Elephas maximus indicus: one gene and its partners. The protein of the gene in region 2 interacts with the protein of the main gene of each other region in a biochemical or structural test. Links are inferred from orthologs where the notes say so. Each region holds a gene or a part of one and is shown on either strand. Other genes may lie near its edges.

Region 1 (7,130 bases), on a different chromosome or scaffold from region 2:
GTCTTCAATCTTCCCCTGCTCGGGGAGCTTCTCAGATGTAGGGACCCTGGGTCCAAAGGACGTGTTCTGCTCCAGGTGCCACTTTCTTAGTGGTATGGGGTCCCTGTTCTCTGCTTGCTTCCCTTTCCTTTTATCTCTTGAGAGATAAAAGGTGGTACAGGCCACACCCCAGAGAAACTCCCTTTACACTGGATCAGGGATGTGACCTGGGTAAGGGTGGTGTTACGATCCCACCCTAATCCTTTTTAACATAAAATTACAACCACATAATGGAGGACTACTATGAAATACTGGGTATTGTGGCCTAACCAAGTTGACAAATATTTTTGAGGGGACACAATTCAATCTATGGCATCAAGAAACAGTCAAGTGTTTTGAGAAAGAAAGAGAAACTTGCCAATAAGAGGTAAACTAAACATTGAGAAGCAAGAGCACTAGGCAAAATGGCACTCAATTCCTCTGACAAGTAACACTTCCCAGGAGACTATTAGTAGACTGTTATACAACTTGTCCAGCATAACTAGTTCTTTATCAATCACTATCTAGTTTGTACATTCTTTTGACATCAGAAGTGGAGGCACTCCTAATCACCTACCAATTGCTTTGCCTACTGTCTCATTTCTCTCCTACTGTTGGGAGGAAAGGGGCATCTATACTGGATTATACTGGGAGACGATCAAGCCAGATCCTGACGTTTCCCTATGCCCAGTGTGAAACTGAGTCTCAGTATCTGACTAAAGTAAAATATTCCAGACCCATACTTCAAATGAAGTTTACCTTAGAAATTAAATTACTCCTCTAACTAAGGTGCCCCTGACCCAAGCCATGGTATTTTCAATCGCATCATATGCATGTGAAAGCTGGACAATGAATAAGAAAGACTGAAGAAGAATTGATGCGTTTGAATTGTGGTGCTGGTGAAGAATATTGAATATACCATGCACTTCCAGAAGAATGAATAAATCTGTCTTGGAAGAAGTACAACTAGAATGCTCCTTAGAAGCAAGGATGGCGAGACTGCGTCTTACATACTTTGGATATGTTGTCAGGAGGGATCAGTCCCTGGAGAAGGACATCATGCTTGGCAAAGTGCAGGGTCAGCAGAAAAGAGAAAGACCCTCAACAAGGTGGACTGACACAGTGGCTGCAACAATGAGCTCAAGCATAACAACGGCTGTAAGGATGGTGCAGGACCGGGCAGTGTTTCGTTCTGTTGTGTGTGGGGTCGCTATGAGTCAGAACTGACTCGGTGGCACCTAACAACAACAAGTAAATTTTTAAAACACAGAACAAAAATATATCCTTTTAACATGCACATACATGCAAAGGAACCCTAGTGGCAAAGTGGGCAAGAGCTCAGGGAGCTAACCAAAAGATCGGCAGTTTGAATCCACCAGCTGCTCTTCGGAAACTCTTTGGGGGTAGTTCTACTCTGTCCTATAGGGTTGCTATGAGTTGAAATCCACTCCGTGTAAATGTGTTTTTTTTTTTTTGGTATACAAGCATATAAATGCATAGAAAGATTTGGAAGAGCACACCTGGAAGTGCATACTTCCGGGGAGGGGAGTGGATTGAGGGAATACTCATTTTACGTATTAGTTATATTACTTAAAGAATGACATTTTTCTTTTTAAAAAGAGGAACAAGATTGTATGATGTTACTCACACCTATCTTCTTCAAGGAGTTTCTCATTAAATTCCATGGTGCCCCTAAACATTCATCTGGGAAAAGTGGCTTACCACTGATACTTCATATTAATCAGATCCTCTCACCAATCTGATTTGGAAAGAATGCTTGAGAATATGTGGCCAAAATATGTCCACAGATCAAATCCTTCACTTCTGTCAATTACAGGTTTACATTCCTCATTGAAAGGCAATAAAAGACAAACAAACAAACAAAACACCAAACCAAACCGTTGCTCTCCAGTAGATTCCAACTTAAAGTGACCCTATAGGACAGAGAACTGCCCCATAGAGATTCCAAGAAGCACCTAGTGGATGTGAACTGCCAACCTTTTGGTTAGCAGCCTAGCACTTAACCACTACACCAACAGGGTTTCCAAAGTGTTAATTCCTTTTAACCCCATAGCTCAAGGACTATATGGACTGTAGTTTTTATTCTCAAGGTTATTCTTTTTTTTTTTTTTTTGGCCGTAGAGATGGTTCCAACTCATAGCGACCCTATAGAATAGAGTAGAACTGCCCCACAGGATTTCCAAGGCCGTGATCTTTAAGGAAGTAGGCTGCCACATCTTTCTCCCCCAGAATGGTTGGACAGTTTGAACCATCAACCTTTCGGCTAGCACCCCAGCACTTAACTACTGTGCCACGAAGGCCCCTTGAAAGGCAATAGGAAACCCTGGTGGCATAGTGGTTAAGAGCTAGCGCTGCTAACCAAAAGGTCAGCAGTTTTTATCCACCAGGCGCTCCTTGGAAACTCCATAGGGCAGCTCTATTCTATCTGACAGGGTCGCTAGGAGTCAGAATCGACTTGACGCAACGGGAAGGGCAATAGGCATCATAAAAAAAGAAAAAAAAAAAAACAACAAAAACGTTGCTGTGGAGTCGATTTCCACTCATCAAATCCAAAACCCAGTGCCATCGAGTCGATTCCGACTCATAGCGACCCTATAGGACAGAGTAGAACTGCCCCATAGAGTTTCATAGCGAACCTATAAGACGGAGTAAAACTCCCTCATAGTGTTTCCAAGGAGAGGCTGATGGATTCGACCTGCTGACCTTTTGGTCAGCAGCGGAGCGCTTAACCACTGCGGCACCAGGTGTACATAGTGAAAGCAAAAGGACTTGAGTTCTAGTTCTGACTGTGCTTAAAAAACTGCAGGGGAACTTGAGCAAATCATTTTTACTTGTAAAATGGAGAATTAGAGCAGAACGGATAGACTCTTACTACTAGACGATTTATTTAAGGTCCATCCTACGGAGAAGAGCTATTCAATTTCGAAGTGCTGCGAATTTAAAAGCAAGATTACAAGTTTCCTTCAATTTAACGAACACAGGGTCCCTACTATATGTGTGGTATGTATCAGGACACACTACAAATCTCAGGCGCTCACTCGACAGCGTTTAGATGCAATTGCAAACAGCAAAAGTCCTTTCACCTAAGAAACGTTTAGCTTCCCTCAGCGGTAGCAATCCCCCAAAGTCCTAAATTTTAATTGCAGTCAATTCCCACCAAGCCATTAGTAGGATGAGAACACACCTGCTGTGAACGCGGAGATGACACTACTACAGTTCCCAGATGCCTCTCTTCCCACCACCGCCCTCCCCGCCCCCACTCCTGGACTCCGCGGGCGGGACTTGTAGTCCCGGGCCCGGGCTGGCGACGGCGCTGAAGCGCTCTTGAAATCTGCCTTCTGCCCGCGAGCTGACGATAAGATCGCAAGTTCCATTAAACTCCTACTCCGATCAACTAAGGTCTGCCCAGTTCAAAGTCGAATTCCCTACTCCAGGGGAATCAACTTTACCCTAGCTCTCCTCAGACCTACAACCTACCGGGGCCAGATCACGCCCCGGAAGTGGAGTCGGGCCCACCAGCGCTTTCCAACCACTCCAAGCAGGGCCTAGCCGGCAGGCAGGCTTGGGGGCGTGGCCTTGGAAGAGGGGTGGGCGGGGGCGGATGGGCGCGGCGTAGCGTTTTGGGCGGAGCCGCGGCGCGGGGCCGCGCGTCTGGGTGGCGGCGGGGGCGCGCCCGTGGGGAGAGGCGGCTGCGGCTGCTAGTGGGAGGGCCCGTGGGGGGGGAGGAGGAACCCGGGACGGGGTCGGGGGGCAGGGCGAGCAGAGAGCCGGGTTCCTGAGGCGGTGGTGGAGTCTCCAACAGAGGAGGAGGGCGGGGAAGGAGGATGGAGCAAGCTGGGGGTTGGGGCTGGCGCTAGCCGCTGCGGCTCGCCTCGTACAGTGGGAGAGCGGCGGCTGCTCCTGGAAGTTGTAGCGTCGGGAGCCGGGCCGGTGCTGTTGCTGCCGCCGCCTTGGGCGGTGGGGAGGAGGAGAAAGAGGAGGAGAGAACGACCGGGGTTGGCGGGGGTCGGAAGGGAGGGGACGGACAAGGGGGAGCGAGCTGGGGAAGACGGAGCGGGCTCTGCGCCGGGCAGGCGGGCGTCGGCGGGGGGGCCAGCGACCGCAGCCGGGGGGACGCGGGAGGATGGAGCAAGTGGAGATCCTGAGGAAATTCATCCAGAGGGTCCAGGCCATGAAGAGTCCGGACCACAATGGGGAGGACAACTTCGCCCGGGACTTCATGGTGAGTGCCTGCCCTCGCTGTCGCTTCCTTTCGCCGGCACTGGAGCCCATCGCCGCCTCGCCCGGCTGGCCCAGGCAGCCAGCGCTTTGTGTACGGCTGTGAGGAGAGGGGCGGAGGGGGAGCGCAGCGACCCCGGGGCCCGGTGGGCTCGGAGGCCGGTGGAAGGTGAGACCGTCTCCGCCCCTCGGCCCTCTTTTCCCTCCTCCGGCGTTCGCGGCCCCTTCTGCGGGCTCCCGGGACAACAAGGGAGCGGCCGCTGGGCCGAGCCAGCACCCGGTACCGCCGCCCGCGACCACCTATTGTTTCTCGGCCTGGAGCTGGAGGCGAGTGAGGTGCTGGTCGGGGGACAGGAGGAGCCTCACCTTTCCACACCTCACCACCTATCCTGCCCCTCCCGGGAGGGTCGAGGCAGGGTATCTGGCTGTGCCCAGGGGGGAGCGGATCGCGGCTGACAGAGGAACGGGCGTGTGAGATTGGCATTAACTCGTGGGGGCCCTTTGCCCAAGCTGGTCTCATAAGTGGGCAGGGTAGGAGTTCTGTCGTTTCTCGGTTCCCAGTTATTATCTCCAATGCTTGGGAAAGCGTTGTCCAAAGGAAGCTCTTGGTTTGTCTTATTTCCATTTACCCTCATCCCGTCTCTTCTCTCCTGAGACACAGGTTTGAGGTAGTCTTAGGGTCAGCGCGACTTTAGGTTGAAGGGGAACTGTGTGTGTGTGTGTGTGTGTATGCGTGTGTGGTTATCCTGAAGGAAGCCTACTTCGAACTCCCTAGGGGATATTGCCGAAGGCGGAGGGGATATGACTATCACTTCCTATCCGGGGTGGGGGTGGGGAACTTGGGAACAATAGTCCTGGTGGGGCGGAGGCGAAGATCCGGGCCGAAGCCCTGAACTGGGAGATAACCTTCCCAGTCACCACCCCCCCTCCCCTTCCGCCCACTGCTTTTGCAGGCTGGCTCGGGAGGAGGTGAGGGTTTAAAGTCTTATCCGTGAAATTGCTCTAGATACATCACGATGAGGGGGTCAGATCTGAAGGCGTGGGACCAGAAGTCGACTTCCTACATTACACCCCCCCCACCCTCTTATTTTTCAGCCGGACAATGTCCCCTCTAGGGTTGTTTCCCGGCTTGGGAGGCGGTGGTTGCGGTGGCTGCTCTTACGGATATTGCGCAACACTGGGGCGTTGGAAAACCCTGGAGGTCTGGGGAATGGAAAAGGAAGTAGGACTTTGGGAAGTGGTTGCTCTTTGGCCTTGGCGGGGGTTGGAAATGGGAAATAAGCTAGGAAGAATTTTGGTCCTGGGCAAGGTGCTCTTCCAAGGATAAACACTTAGCTCCGAAATTCGGTTATAAAGAAAATATAGAGCTAATGTTTATAAAAATGAATGGGCAGCAAACGTTGGCTACGTTTTGTTTCAAAGTACAGTAGTTGTTTTCAGGGTGCAGGTGAAGGGACTTTTAGTACCGAAATGCTTTTTTCAATTTTAAGGAGACCTTGGGCTAGTAAAGCTTCAGTGTTAAAATTGTTAACAGCTTATAAAGGGCTTACACAACATGGTAGTATTGTAGAGCTTTGTGATTCCCGCTTCCCCAAACCAATAACAGAAGATAGAAGTTTTGTTACTTATCTTTTGAAGACTGGAAAACCTAGATTAAATGGTGTAATTATTTCTTGTCTTAAACATTTTTCTCTTGATATTTAGCCTTTGTACTTTTGAAAAATTACTTTTTGATCTGAAAAGAGTAAAGAAAAGGAGGGGACATTTTTCCTTTGTACTATTGAGAATTTTGAATGTGTTGGTGTCTTTTGAATGGAATCATTTACAATAATTGCATGTAGTCCCTTTTTTACTACACTCTAGCAAAAATAGAAGAAAATATTTACTTTGTATATTTTAAATATCTAAAATTAGTCTTTTAAAGTCTTATTTTGGTTATCAAGAAGAAATGGTGTGGTCCCTGGCCACTTATATGCATACTAGTCATTGAGTTATCCCTAGGCATATCCTGTCAGGAAAGGGCATTGTTTAGTGATACAGGCCATCAGGACAGGTGCCCTGTCTGTGAACTTCTGTGCAGGGGAAATAGCCTTAGGGTTTATGCTTTGGAGTTGAGTCAGGGATGCTTATTGGAGATTTCATTTCTCAAGTACTAAATTAGTTTCTTTTTTCATCCATAATACCTAGGGAGAGCTAGGTGATTCTACATTCAAGGTTTGATGACTAAGGCTATTCTTACATAGTGCTTGCCTTTTCTGTTTCCTGACTTGATAAGGAACAGCTATAATTAAGGTTGCTGGTAGTTGGCTGCTGAAAGCAGGAGAGGAAATCTCCCAAACTATGTTCCTCTGTCATTGAGGGAAAATAGAGGATCAGTTGATAGAATTTAGATTCTAACTGTTCTGCTGTTATTCTTAAATTCTGATGCAGAGTCAAATGCATTTTTAAGTTTTGACATTTCAGAACTGAAAGAGACCTTAGAGATATTCTATTATAACCCAATTCCACTATAAATTAATAATGCTTGTTATTTCAAATTTGAAAATTACATAATAATAATAACGTCCTACACTTAAGAGTCCTGATGATGCAGTGGTTAAGAGCTTGGCTGCTAACCAAAAGGCCAGCAGTTCAAATCCACCAGCTAGCTGTTCTTGGCTATCCCGTGGTACAGTTCTGCCCTGTCCTATAGGGTCACTCTGAGTTGGAATGACTCGACGGCAATGGGTTTGTTTGTTTTTTGGTACACTTAGGAAGGTGAAGTTGGCATTCAAACTCAGGTGTCACTCTACAGTGTTCTTGCCATTATTCTTCCCAAACTTCCTATAGTTCCATCACCTGAAGATTACTTCTGTTCATGTTTTTAATGTTAT
Region 2 (6,848 bases):
ATTTACACACATCCTAGAAGGCCGTGAGGTCAGAAGCGAGAGCCCTGGTTGCGAGGTGGGAGCCTAGGGTTTTGCCCTAGTTATCAATGATTTCAGTCTACATGGATCAAGAGTGAACATCCATGGAAACAGCAGTCAAGAAATCACTTAGGGGACACTGAGCTTCTGTTAAGGGTGATGGAAAAATTTGGGAAAGGTTAATGGTGGTTGCTGAACAACATGATAAACATGTCACTGAACTGTATATATGATGATTATAAAAAATATATATATATATGATTATAGAAATGGCAAATGTTTGTTACCTATGTATTTACCACAATTAAAAAAAAAAAAAGATCAAATGATGTAGTAGACAAATCTGGTGCAAAAGACCTCTTCAAAGTTTTAAAAAGCAAAGATGTCACTTTAATGACTAAGGTGCATTTGACCCAAACCATGGCCTTTTCAATAGCCTCAAATGCATGTGAAAGTTGGATAATGAAAAAGGAAGTATTGATGCATTCAAACTGTGGTGTTGGAATATACATGACTGCCAGAAGAACAAACAAATCAGACTTAGAAGTACATCCAGAATGCTCCTTAGAAGTGAGGGTGGTGAGACTTCGATTTGCTTACTTTGAACATGTCATCAGGAAAGACCAATTGCTAGAAAAGGACATCATGTTTGGTAATATAGAGGGCCAAGGAAAGTGAGGGAAACCCTCAGTGAGATGGATTTACACAGTAGCCAGCCACAACAAGACTCAAACATACCAACAATCATGAAATGGCACAGGACTGGGCAACGTTTCCTTTTGCTATACATAAGGTCTCCAGGAGCTGGAGCTGACTGGATGGCAACTAACAACATCCTGGAGGATCCTAGAACAAAAAAAAGATTATAAGGTAAAAACTAAGGAAATCTGAATAAAGGATGGGCTTTAGTTAATAACCCACCGCCATCGAGTTGATTCCAACTCATAATGACCCTATAGGACAGAATAGGACTGCCCCATAGGGTTTCTTAGGCTGTAATCTTTATGGAAGCAGACTGCCACATCTTCCTCCCGCTGAACAGCTAGTGGGTTTAAACCACCAACGTTTCGGTTAGCAGCCCAACACTTAACCACTGCATCACCAGAACTCCTTTTAGTTAACAGGAACATATCAATATTGGTTCATTAATTGTGACAAATGTATCACAGGCTCCTCTAAGATGTCCTGTTCTCTCCTGGCCAGGGGCCCCTCTGCCAGAGAAGTCCTGGGTTGTCTAGAGGGGTACAGGGTGGGACGAGGGGGGAGAAGAAGACACCTCCCAGCCCTTGGTCCCTCTAGATGATGCAAGGCCCAGGGGACAGAGGCCTGGCTTGAGTGCTAGGAGAGCTTGTCTCTGCCCCAATTTGTTCTTGTCTTAACTCCCTTTCCTCTCAGTGTCAGGAGCTACAATAACCCTACCTCCCTGGGATTGTAAGTGAGCGACTCACTGGTAAGGGCCCCTGGTCAGCCCTCAAGGACCCTCTCAGAGTGCTGGTGCCTGCTCAGCCAGCCCAGCTGTTGGTTCTGGTCTGAACAGCCTGTCTTGAGGACCCCTCTGTGGAACTGTGAGTCATTGTTTGCCTGCCTAGGATGTGTGGGAAGGGCAGGTGTACAGACACCTGGTGGGATCAGGGCAGGGTGCTCAGCACCCTAATGGGGCTCCTCTGGCCACCCGCAACTGCACACCCAAGGCCCTGGATCCCTGCCTCCAAGTATGTGAGGCTCTGGCCAGGATCCCCTCTCCCCACACTGAGGACTGAGTTAGTGACGCCCTCCCTGAGTGAGCAGCTAGCTGCTTGGGGTGGGGGTCGGGGGGCAGTTGGAGGCAAGGACTAGATGGTTTGTAGCCATGGGCAAAACTGCACCCCTCCCTTGGTTTTCCATTCCCTGTACCCAGGGGTGTCAAAGGGGTCTTTCTGAATCCCCCACCCCCTCTGGCCAGGAACACAGAGATGGGATGGGGGAGATAGGAGAGAAGAAGCCAGAAACAGTGGGTGATGAAAGACAGTAGGGAGAGGAAAGGGAGGCAGAGCCTGGATGCTGGGGAGGAAGGCTCAGTGGGGGGTCAGGGTGGCAGCCAGGCAGGCTCGTGTGGCTGGGAGCCTGGGTGCCAGGCTGAGCTGCTGCTCTCAGCTTAGGAGTCCCTGTGCCAGCTGGCACAGGTGGGTGGGCATAGGCAGGGCTGCGTGCCAGATATACACACAGAACGCCTTTGAGGAGGTGGCAGCTGTCGGCCCAGGCCCCCTTCTGCTTGCTGCAGCCCTGCCTACCCCCTCCAACAACGCCTTACTGAGCACTGGGCTGGGGAAACTGAGGAGTACATTTGGGAACCCTGACTGGAGCGGAGGGCAACCCTGCTCATTCGGAGCAGGGAGGGACCCTGGCTCATCAGTCCTAAGACCAGACCTGGCATGGTGGTGGGCCTCAGCTTCCCCCTTTCTCAATCCTCTTGTATCCCCCTCCGTGCCTGTGGCCACTATTAGGACCCTCCCCAGGATCAAGGCAGCCTCCCCACCTTGGGTGAGAAGGCTGGAAAGCCTTTTAAACCCCAGTAATGGTGGGTTTTGTGGTCCAGAGAGCTGGGGGCCAGCTCTGGGCCTCTGAGGAAGCTGCCTGCAGCCTGTCTCTGCTTTCTCCATTCAGTCATCATGGGCCTTCTGGCACTGCACACCTGGCAGACAGAACAGCCTGTCCCCCTGTGCCCATGGGTACCCGCCTCCCCACACAGATTTCCTAGGGGGCTAGAGCTCCCTGTCCACCTCCAAGCCCCCCATGAGCTGGGCTGGCTGTGGAATAGCTCTGTTTTTCCTCCTCAGTTGGGTGGGTGGTAGTACTCACCACCTGGACACTGCCGGCAGGTGCTCACTCACCTCCCCTGGTCTCCCTGTGCAGCAATGGCCATTCCTGGGGTCAGGCCTTGCTGGGCCTCCATAAGCTGCCTAGGAAGAGCCCCAAGGTCAGAGACAGGCTGCCTGTCTGGGCAGTAGAACAGGTTGACCTTTAGTAGCTGGGTAGAACAGGTCTGCCTTAAGTAGCTGAGAGACCTGGAGCGAGGTCTATTCAAGGTAACAGGGGCACAGCAAGGATCTCTGGCAGCAGGAGGAGGAATTAGGACTAATGGGCACTGGTACCTGTTTGGACACCTGTCAGATGTGGGGAGCTGAAGGAATGGGGTGGCTTGACTTGGGGAGGGAAGGCTCAGGCCTGTCTTCACAAGGAAGGGCTGGCCAGGGCGCAGGGCTGGCCTGGTTGAGGTGGGGGGAGGCGGGTGTGGGTGAGGGCTACCAAGAGACAGGACCCTCCCTAAAAGCCAGCCCAGATCTGTCGGGGTGACCGTAGGGATAGGCTAGGCTGTTCCCGGGGTTAGGGAGAGCTCCCCAAACCTGGGGGGTGGGGGCGGGGAGAAGATCAGGCGAAGGAGCCCTGCGCCAGGGTAGCTTAGGGGTTGTCCCTGAGATTCTGGGGCGCTCCCAGCCGTGGGGAGGGAGTTCTATGAACTCAGTTCGGCTGACTTGCAGCTGCCTCCAGCCTGGCAGAGCCCTCCTGGTCAGCTCCCAGACACAGGGACCGGGAGCCCGGCCAGGGCCACAGCGCCCTGGGATGCAATGCGGGGAGTGGGGGTTCTGGCCTGCAAAACCGGGTGGGTAAACAGGAGAGGTTGCTACGGGAGGTGGCCCTTAAAGAGTGGGGTAAGGTTTGGAGACCTAGGCACCTCTATGCTGCCTTGGGCCGACAGAAAAATGACTGGGGTCCGGGGTCCTCGCCTTTAACGCGGCCCGCGGCTGAGGAGACGGAGGGGGTGGGGCGGCGCGGCGGCGCATGCGCGGCTGGCGCTGCCGGACCGTCCGGCAGCCGGGAGCTTGGAGGTGCCCGCCGGGAGCCCGAAAGCCCCGGGACCCCGCGCGGGGCTCTGAGCGGGCGGGCCCATCGAGCCCCTAGCCTGCCGGCGCCGCCGTCCGCCCGGGCGCCGCGAACGGCGGCCAAGATGTCCGTGCCGGTGAGTACCGCCCGCTGCCCGCCACCCGGCTCGGCTGCCCCCGGCCCGGCCTGCGACCTCGTGCTGCCCGCTGCGGGCCCGCTGCCACGGGGGCTCTCGGACGGGGTCGCCCCACCTGGGCCTGCAACAGCTGGGGGAGGGCAGGTTGGGGGCATCTCCCCCGAGCGTCCCACTTACCTCTACCATCCCCTCCTCTCCCAGGAGGGCCAGGTCGGGCTGGGGTCCGCGCTGCCCTCTCGGGTACCCCCAGGACTGACAAGCGGGGTCCGTGCTGCCCTCCTGGAAACCGTACCCCTACGTTGGACAGCTGCCCTGCCGTCCCCCAGGGACCTCACCAGAATGGCCAGGCCTGGGGCGGGGTCTATGCCTGTCCCCGGAGACCCTTTCCCTCTCTCCCCGCCCCCCGTCGACGGCTTGGCTGGGTGGGCGTCTGCGCCTCCCCCTCCAGGACGGCTGTTGTGCTCACTTTCTCGGGAAGTTTTCCTCTGGCCACTGAGCCCCTTTCTGAGCACAGGCTCAGGCTCCTTGCTCCCTACTAGCGGTGGGCATTTTTCGTGGCCCGACAGGCCGGCCCCGGGCAGCCCCTTGGTGAATGGCTTCACACTTGGCTCGGAGCATCTTGGGTCTTCTCGGCCTCTTGTCCTGCGGGTGGCGAGTAATCCTGGAGACCCCCCCGTGACCAAACCTCAGGTACAGGCCCCAGCCCACTTTGCAGATGGACAGGCTGAGGTGGGAGGGAGATGAACCAGAGGTCCCGCTGGAAAGGGGCGCCACCCGCTAGCTGGAGATGTGGCCTCCGGCCATTGTTTCTTTGCAGGGTTAGGGGCTTTTTTCTCTGACAGGAATAGGCAGTGGGCCGCGGCTCCCAGCCTACCCTGGCCTTGTTTCTGGGACTGCCCCCCACATGAGGGCCCCCTTCTTGCCATGAAGCAGACAGTTGGGGCCTTCTGGCAGGGCAGGCTGGCCTTTTAATTAACCAGCGTAGAGTGTGTGGAGATTATTGGATGAGAGCTGCTGTGTAAGTGCAAAGCATTGTTATTATGGAATTAAAGATCCCAGCTTTACCCGCCTCCAGAAGCAGTAATGCAGAGTTACAGATGAAAAAATTAGGGCTTCCAGACTGTGCTGATGTGACCCCCCCCCCAACCCCAATCTCTTCTGGTTCAGAGCATAATTGCCTCATCTTTGAAAGAAGACAGAAAATGCCTGCCAAGCCCTTCTTCTCCCTTGCTCAGCTTTCCTGCAAAGCTCTGGGCCTTTTCCAGCCCAGGACATCAGGGAACCTCCCTGCCCCTGTAGGCACTGACCAGAGAAATAAGGTGGACCAGCTGGACCTGCTGGAGGGTCTGGGTCTTCAGGGCCAAGGGAATATGATGTGGAGAAAAAGAGGCCAAAGGTTGGGGGGGTGGGGGGGCAGGGCCACATCAGACCCTGGGCTGACCGCTATTGGGGAGGTCTACGTTTGATGTGGTTTGGTTGTCCACAGACACTGCAGAGCACTGAGAGGGGAGCCCGGGAGGGTACCCAGACCCCTTGTCTTACGTGACTCTGGATAGCCCTACTTGGCTCTGTGCCTCAGTAGCTGCATCTATAACAAGAGAGGTGTGGGCAGGTGGACCAGGGTCTGTGTGTGACTTGGACAGACAGGCATCATTGTGGAGGCAGCAGCTGAGGTCAGCTCAGTCTGTCCTCACCATCACCTGCTCCAAATCAGGTCCTCAGGTCCCACCCTCCCACCTGCAGCCACAACCCTTGGGGATTCTGTGGGAGTGGGCAGGGGTCTCACTGTCAGCCCCCTGTGTGGCTGGGCTGTCAGAGCACCCAGACTTTCTCCTGGGACCTTGGCCAGTGCCTGTGGTGGTGGGACCAGAAGGAGCAGTTCATTTCTGGAGCAGCTGTGAAATGTTCTGCAAATTGCTTTCATGTGCTGGGTAGGCCCTGCAGAAGCCTCAGGGCTGAGTCGGCCTGCTCAAGCCCTGCTCTCGGAACCCAGAATGGTGACGGCCCATGTGGGCTTATAGACACATTAGGGTTTTAAGCACACTTGTTCATTTGGGTAGTCTTTTCCTGGATGGGGCTGACACAGGCAATTTGGAACACAGAAATTACAAGATGCTTCAGAACGAGACAGGGTGGGAAGTGATGTCAGGGAGAGTAGGGGTTGTGGTGGGCCAGGTTGATCTGTGAGTGACTCTGAGTGTTAGCACAGGAGGGCGCTCTAGACATTGGTGGTCTGACCCTGTCATTTGATCCAAGCCCACACACGCAGGAGTCTGGATCCCAGAGGGGGCAAGGTACACAGGGTCTTCCTGACCCCCTACTCAGTGCTGTTTCCTCTGCCCCAAGCTGAGAGCAGTGATATCTGGCTTCCTCTTGGGCATGGCTGTGCCACCTGCCTCAGGCCTCTGGACTGGCCAGCATTGGCATGGGATCTGTGTTTAGGAGTGGCACGATGCTGGATGCTCCCTGGAACTGTCAGAGAGGCCAGTTTCCAGCTTGCAGAGAAATTCTCCTACTGTTTTCCTGCCTCCTTTCCTGTCTGTGAAATGCGTGCAGCCATTCTGCCCCTCTACTGTTCCTTTGTTGTGTGAAGGATGGAACCTGTCAAGAAGTGACGGTGCAGACGTGTGGCATGCATCCCATGTGCCAGACACTGTGCTCAGGGACAGTGTGTCTTGCCAGGGTGGCGCGGCCAATAAGAGGCAGGCACTGGGTGGGAACCAAGTCTGGCAGAACCCAAAGCCAGAAAGTGACTGTCATACCTCGTGGCCTCTCTAACTATGGGGACTGTGGCCTGTTGAGCCATCACAGAGGTCGAGGCTGCTGAGAGGCC
Region 3 (6,945 bases), on a different chromosome or scaffold from region 2:
AAGTCCAGGGCTATTGTTGCCATCTCCTTCATCTGAAACAATGAAACCATTGACACTGAAAGAGAGTGACCAGTGTCAGAGAATCAAAGAATTCAAAAACACCTGATCCAAGCTCTCTTAAACCACAGATGGAGGGTGGCGTATCATATTCTTGTCATCATTCAAGCCCTCTCTTCTCTCCTTCCAGCTTCTAAAACTGATCCTTTTTTATATCTGTGCCTCTCCTCTTTTGGACAGCCAAGCCAACTCAAACTTGAGACCTGCCAAGCAGTACTTCCACTTTTCACACCAAAGTGCTTAAATGCTAGAAAACAATTTTTAAAGCTATCTAAATGATGCTATCAAAGCTGACTTTTTATAGCACCAAATGCTTATTAGTATCTGTGCTATTATTAGCATTGAAGATTACAAACCCGTCTACGCTCTCTATCAGACTGAGCTAGCATAGAATCTTTGCCTGGAACATTTGTTTTCTAAGCTGCCACATTCCTCGGCACTCAAAAAGCCCACTTCGCCCTTTATTCTTTTCCCAAGTTCTTGCTTTTTTTTTTTTGTACTAGTTAGAAAAAAGGTTAGGATAGTGAAAGATGACTGTGCTACCTTATAGCAAAGTTTTAAGCAAAAATTACATGTTATCTTTCTAGTCACAAAAGAGTAAGTGAGGTCAATATATGACTCTAAGGCTACCCTCATTTTTCCATGCTATATACAACATTAATTTTTTTAAACTCATTTTCTACCAACCATAAGCACACTGCTTTTAATTCTTGGAAAATAATGGTTCCGGTAAACTGACACACAACTTGGAAAATCTGCCACTTAACACTCAAGGTCATTTGAACTCCACATTTAAAAAAATGCTACAATTGTACAAAAAAGAGCAACTTACAAACTTAGTAAGGGGAAGAGCCTCTGACTTCAATTTTAGAATATCTGCATGGTAAGAGGTAAGAAAAGGCCACAGTGGATATTTCCTTAAGGTCAGAAGAAACCACCTCCAGTAATGTGGCAATCTATTAAGAAGCTGGGGAAATCTCAAGATAAAGCAATCTTGACTAACTCTTGTAGTTCAAATGTGATACAGAAACTTAAGAACAATGAAGGAAATTAGTTGAAGACCAACATGCTTCATGCTAGCAGCTTGCTTAATATAATTTCAACAACGCTTAGGTGACAGGTCAGACTACCCGCACCTAAAACAGTAAGAAATCGGATTCAACCAAGAACTTATCTACAATATAAATTTGCAGTTGAGTCAGTTTCAGTACAAAAGATTTTTTCTCCAAAGCCTGCAATTGTGATGGAGTATGTTGTAGTCAATTCCGACACTTCAGAGCAACAATTTTCCTTTAAAGCCATTTTAGACTCTGTTGCATTAAATTTGATGTAGATAATGTGTCCACACATTCTCAAAGTCACCAGTGGCACTCATTCCATTAGCCTACAGAGACTAGGCACGGAATACAAACTTTTATATTGATCCATCATATTTATACAGATTACAGTGGTCTGGCAACATTATAAATATTACAGTCTATCAGAAGATAATATACATCACAGTCCAAGTAAAAAGAGTCCTGTCAAAGAAGCTTAATGCAAATCCACATGAAAACAAGGCTGCCAAAAACAGGCTTTCGTCAGTCAAGCTCACCAAAGAGCTGCTTAATGCTGTTTCTCCTTTTTAAGAGGAGCTCAAAATAGATTTTAATAAGACCAGCTGATGGACACCACAATTTGCCTTTTGAGCTCAAGCTGAAAACAGAAAAAACTGCCTTCCCTCTTTACACAAGTAACAAAATCTCTCTATTCTGCACGTTGCTTATTCAAGATACCAAGTGTGGTTTTGGTTAATCCTCACAACCCCCGCAATGACATTTAATGGGGAATGTGTATTTTCTTTAGAGGATTTAACTGGTTGTGAAAGCAGACCTCTTCGTATTTTTAATCTGACGCTTTAGAGATAGGTGACAAACCCTACCTTGCTAACTTTTTGCTTACGAACCACCGTAACCCACCCGAGGTCTCGGAAGACAGTTCGTCTCAGCTCTGAACCAAGGATGGGCTGCCCGTTGAGGAAAGATGCTACTGAGAGTAAAGCCTTAACCTTCCCTAGCCCCTGCTTGAAAAGGCACTGTTTTGGCCCTGATGGAATGGTGACTGCAGACCTCCTGGCTGGAAAGCTCTTTAGCCTGATACACTCATAGCCTGCTGTGACTCTTCATTCAGCCCACAAAGCAAATGTCTCTTCTTCTGACAGACAGTCCCTGCTCTCTCTCACTAAGGTAGTCCACCTTTCATCTGGAGGCGCCCTACCCCATTATGTTTTGTTTTCCTCACATCTTTTGTTACCATCCGAAATCATCTGCGTATGTCTGACTGCCCTATTCGACTCTAAGCTCCACAGGGATAAGGCTTTACCTGTCTTGTTCAACACTCTCCAGCGCCTATAGCGGTGGCTAGCACGGAATAGGCGCATCACTTTACAGACACTAAATGAATGAGCAGGAAGGGGGAAAGGGGCTCTGTCATCCTTGGACTCGACGGACACTGAGACCAGAGGAAAGGAAATGTGAGGGGGGAGGGGGCGAAACCCTTTCCCCCGGGAGACAAAGGAAGAGAGTCTGAGGTGGTCCCGTCTAGAAAAGGAAGTCGTGGGGGTGTTAAATCCACCCCAGGGGACAAAGAGTGGGTAGGCAGGGGGGCGGGGTCGCGGTGCGAAGGATTCGCGCGAAGAGTCTAGATGGGCGGCCTCCAGGCTTAAGAGGTCACCCGGGCTAGAGGATATGAGGTAGGTGGGGGATCTCAGGAGGCTGCGAGGCCCGAGCGAGACGCAGGCCCACCCGGGGGACAAAGAGAGAGGGGGGCGGCCTCTGCCGCTGTCGGATCGAATCCTCAGGCAGCAGGGCCGAGACGGAGGGCAGGACGCAGAGGGAGAACGGGGCCCGGTGTTCCGAGGAGGGTTCCCGCGGCCTAAGCAAAGAGCCTGTCGCGCTCGGGGGCGCTCCCGCACCTGGTAAATGGCCGCCCAGCTACCAGCCCTGTCGATCTGCTCGAACTCCTTTTCCATCTCCATGACGGGCCAGGGCGGCTGTTGCGTCTCCTCCTCGGCCCACTGCGACGTCTGCCGCCTCAGGCCGCGTCGCGATCTTAGCTTTGAGTTCCACTGCAAGCCTCGACTCTCGCCGCTACCGCCGCCCCAGCCGCCGCTGCTTCTTCATGTCAACCCGGCAGCCGGAAGTACGCACCGCGCCTGCCGAGAGCCCCGCCCCCTAAGCCGGAGGGCCAATCCGCGCTCGAGGATGAGGGCAAGCACTTCCGCGGGGCGGAGTCCGGAGGAGGTGCCGGGGGAAGTGGCCTCAGCCCCGCGAGACGTTGGGCAGCGCGCAGGTTCCCCCGCCTCTCCGGGGGTCCGGGCTCGGGCGTGGCGCGCGCCCGTTGCCTAGGCGACCCCAGGGCACCGAGCCCACGGTACGAGGGTTGGCAAGGCCTGGGGTGGGTCTTGAATTCAAACCTCGGCTTGGCCTCCTGAGTTACAGAGTGACCTTGAAATAGTCACGCATCCTTCTTGCAGCGCCAGGGTCCTGGACTCAGTACTCCCAGCTAGAGCACCGACGGAAGACTGCAAGCCCCGTTCACCGTCTCCCGGCTCTGGCCAGAGGAGGCCCGCCGATTTTAACGAAACAGGAGAGTTTCATGATCCGCTGGGCTGCCTGGGAAGAGCCATTACTCCCTAGAGGCAAGAGTTCCTGTTTGAAATCCGTATTTTCCCTTTAGGGTCTTCTACCCTGGGCCCATCAGAAGGGGGGTCCTAGAATGATTTTCAATATTTCCCAGAGAATCAAAGAAAGCCTACATTGACCCTGCTCAGCCTGGATTTGGTGGAGCTCCAATTCCATGATGCATTAAAATCACCTGGGAAGTGTGTTGAACGATGCGGATTTCTGGGACCACCTCCAAAGGATTGGATACCTTTGGTACGGAGGTGAGGCCCAGGAATCTGTATTGTTTACTGTCCCCCTTCCCCCCTGCCCCGGGAATTCTTATGCCTGTGGTCCTTGGGGCACACAGGAAGGAAGGCTGGTCAGGTTGCCTTTCTGTGGACTCTGATTTAAATCATCCAGCTCCAGCGTGGCATCTTCTGCGAAGCCTATGAACTCCATGAGGGCAGAGAACCCAGAGCATCAAATCATCTCTCTTACTGTTCCCATGCCAGGCCTCCCAGGGTGGCTACCTGGAATTCTTGGTTGAATTCCAACTCATTCCTTGAGTGCTTGTGGCAGGCACTGTGCCTGGTATTCCAAGTGCACATTCTCATTTAACAGCCCCCTCCAACAACACTACAAAATTGTCACTATTGTTATTCCCACTTTACAGTTGAGGACTCTGAGGCAAAATCACTTCTCCAGAGTAGCACTGCTCATTGGTATGGAAGACAGGATTCTAACCCAGTCTCCAGAGTGGTACAGACTTTGGAGCGAGGCTGCCTGGGCCCCCATCCCAGCTCTGCTAAATAACTATGCAGTCTTGGGCAAATTACCTAAACTCTCTGTGCCTCCTTTATAGAATGCGGGTAATAAAAGTACCTGGCTCAGAAGGGGGGTGTGAGGAATGAATGAGTTACTACATGTAATCCTTTTAGTATAGTGAGTGGCTTAATAAATATTGTTGTTGTTGTTAGGTACCGTCAAGTTGCTTCCAACTCATAGCGACCCTATGCACAACAAAACGAAACACTGCCTGCTCCTGAGCCATCCTTACAGTTGTTGCTATGCTTGAGCTCATTGTTGCAGCCACTGTGTCAATCTACCTCGTTGAGGGTCTTCCTCTTTTTCCCCTAATCCTGTACTTTGCTGAGCATGATGTCTTTCTCCAGGGACTGATCCCTCCTGACATGTCCAAAGTATGTAAGACACAGTCTCGCCATCCTTGCTTCTAGGGAGCATTCTGGTTGTACTTCTTCTAAGACAGATTTGTTCGTTCTTTTGGCAGTCCAAGGTATATTCAATATTCTTTGCCAACACCACAATTCAAAGGCATCAATTCTCCTTCAGTCTTCCTTATTCATTGTCCAGCTTTCACATGCATATGATGTGATTGAAAATACCATGGCTTGGGTCAGGCGCACCTTAGTCTTCAAGGTGACATCTTTGCTCTTCAACACTTTAAAGAGGTCCTTTGCAGCAGATTTACGTGATGCAATGCGTCTTTTGATTTCTTGACTGCTGTTTCCATGGCTATTGATTGTGGATCCAAGTAAAATGAAATCCTTGACAACTTCAATCTTTTCTCCGTTTATCATGATGTTGCTCATTGGTCCAGTTGTGAGGATTTTTGTTTTCTTTGTGTTGAGGTGCAACCCATACTGAAGGCTGTGGTCTTTGATCTTCATTAGTAAATGCTTCAAGTCTTCTTTACTTACAGCAAGCAAGGTTGTATCATCTGCATATCACAGGTTATTAATGAGTCTTCTTCCAATCCTGATGCCCCGTTCTTCTTCATATAGTCCAGCTTCTTGTGTTATCTGCTCAGCATACAGATTGAATAGGTATGGTGAAAGAATACAACCCTGATGCACACCTTTCCTGACTTTAAACCAATCAGTATCCCCTTGTTCTGTCCAAACAACTGCCTCTTGATCTATGTAAAGGTTCCTCATGAGCACAATTAAGTGTTCTGGAATTCCCATTCTCATGGGAATAAATATTAGCTATGGTTTATTTCAAGGAGCCCTGGTGGTTAGTGGTTAAAGCATTCGGCTGCTAACCAAAAGGTCGGCAGTTAGAACCCACCAGCTGCTCCATGGGAGAAAGACACAGCAGTCTGCTCCCGTAAACATTACAGCCTTGGAAACTCTATGGGGCAGTTCTACTCTGTCCTATAGGGTCACTGTGAGTCGAAATCGACTCGATGGCAGTGGATTTTTGGTTTATCATTATCGTTGTTGTTGTTAAGTCCTGTCGAGTCAGTTCTGACTCATAGCGACCGTATATACAACAGAATGAAACACTGTCCAGTCCTGCGCCATCCTCACAATCGTTATTTTGGAGCCCATTGTTGCAGCCACTGTGTCAATCCATTTCCTTGAGGGTCTTCCACTTTTTCGCTGACTTCTACTTTACCAAGCATGATGTCCTTCTCCGGGGATTGGTCCCTCCTGGCAACGTGTCCAGTGTTTGTGAGATGAAGTCTCGCCGTTCTTGCTTCTAATGAGCATTCTGGCTGTACTTCTTCCAAGATAGGTTTGTTCATCCTTCTGCCAATCCATTTTTAATTCGATATTATTATTATATACCTTCAAATAATAACAAACAGGAAGTAAGTGAATTTTTATTGAGCAATTTACTCAATAAAAATTCACTCACTTCCTGTTTAAAAAAAAATTTTTTTTTTTTTTTAAATGCAATTGGTTTAATAGGCAATACCTTTAGAAACTAAGGATTCTAGGGGAGAGGCAATGTTAACGAGAGGTGTCCGTTCTGGTGAAACATTTGGAACTCAACACTCAGAAGCTGCCTGTTTCAAGTCTGGGCCCGTTGAAGTGCTCTGCAGGCTGTGTACTCTTCCCTCTCACCCATATATAATTTGAGTGATAGTTTGTCTGGAAGAAAACCCTGGTGGTACAACAGTTAAGTGCTCGGCTGCTAACTGAAAGGTTGGAGATTAGAACCCACCAGCAGTTCAGGGGGAGAAGAGACCTGGCTCCTGTAAAGACTGCAGTTTAGGAAACCCTACGGGGCAATTCTGCTCTGTCATATGGAGTTGCTATGAGTCGAAATCGACTCAGTGGCAGCCAACAACAACAACAAAGTTCACCTGGAACACACAGCACTGTGAGCTCCTAGAGTGAATGGAGGACAGGGCTGGTTCATTCCAATTCCCATGCACGGGGCTAAGTAGGGAAATAAGTGCCCATCTTGAGTCGAAGTGGCACTCATACCTACAGGG

Evidence for each region. The genes of interacting proteins can lie anywhere in the genome.
Region 1: the proteins of BCAR1 (region 2) and PTPN12 form a complex in vitro, tested with the Homo sapiens proteins (3 studies listed by BioGRID and IntAct, with this or other methods). The link is inferred for Elephas maximus indicus from reciprocal best matches to the Homo sapiens genes BCAR1 and PTPN12.
Region 3: the proteins of BCAR1 (region 2) and PTPN1 form a complex in vitro, tested with the Homo sapiens proteins (3 studies listed by BioGRID and IntAct, with this or other methods). The link is inferred for Elephas maximus indicus from reciprocal best matches to the Homo sapiens genes BCAR1 and PTPN1.

What each region holds. Positions count from the first base shown.
Region 1 is NC_064826.1:47,221,553-47,228,682, forward strand, and holds the start of PTPN12 (tyrosine-protein phosphatase non-receptor type 12), read left to right. Parts: upstream 1-4,126; 5' UTR 4,127-4,162; coding exon 4,163-4,261; intron 4,262-7,130. UniProt on the Homo sapiens protein: Dephosphorylates a range of proteins, and thereby regulates cellular signaling cascades. Dephosphorylates cellular tyrosine kinases, such as ERBB2 and PTK2B/PYK2, and thereby regulates signaling via ERBB2 and PTK2B/PYK2.
Region 2 is NC_064839.1:40,988,300-40,995,147, reverse strand, and holds the start of BCAR1 (breast cancer anti-estrogen resistance protein 1), read left to right. Parts: upstream 1-3,827; 5' UTR 3,828-4,003; coding exon 4,004-4,015; intron 4,016-6,848. UniProt on the Homo sapiens protein: Docking protein which plays a central coordinating role for tyrosine kinase-based signaling related to cell adhesion. Implicated in induction of cell migration and cell branching. Involved in the BCAR3-mediated inhibition of TGFB signaling.
Region 3 is NC_064843.1:19,114,437-19,121,381, forward strand, and holds the start of PTPN1 (tyrosine-protein phosphatase non-receptor type 1), read right to left. Parts: upstream 3,005-6,945; 5' UTR 1-3,004. UniProt on the Homo sapiens protein: Tyrosine-protein phosphatase which acts as a regulator of endoplasmic reticulum unfolded protein response. Mediates dephosphorylation of EIF2AK3/PERK; inactivating the protein kinase activity of EIF2AK3/PERK.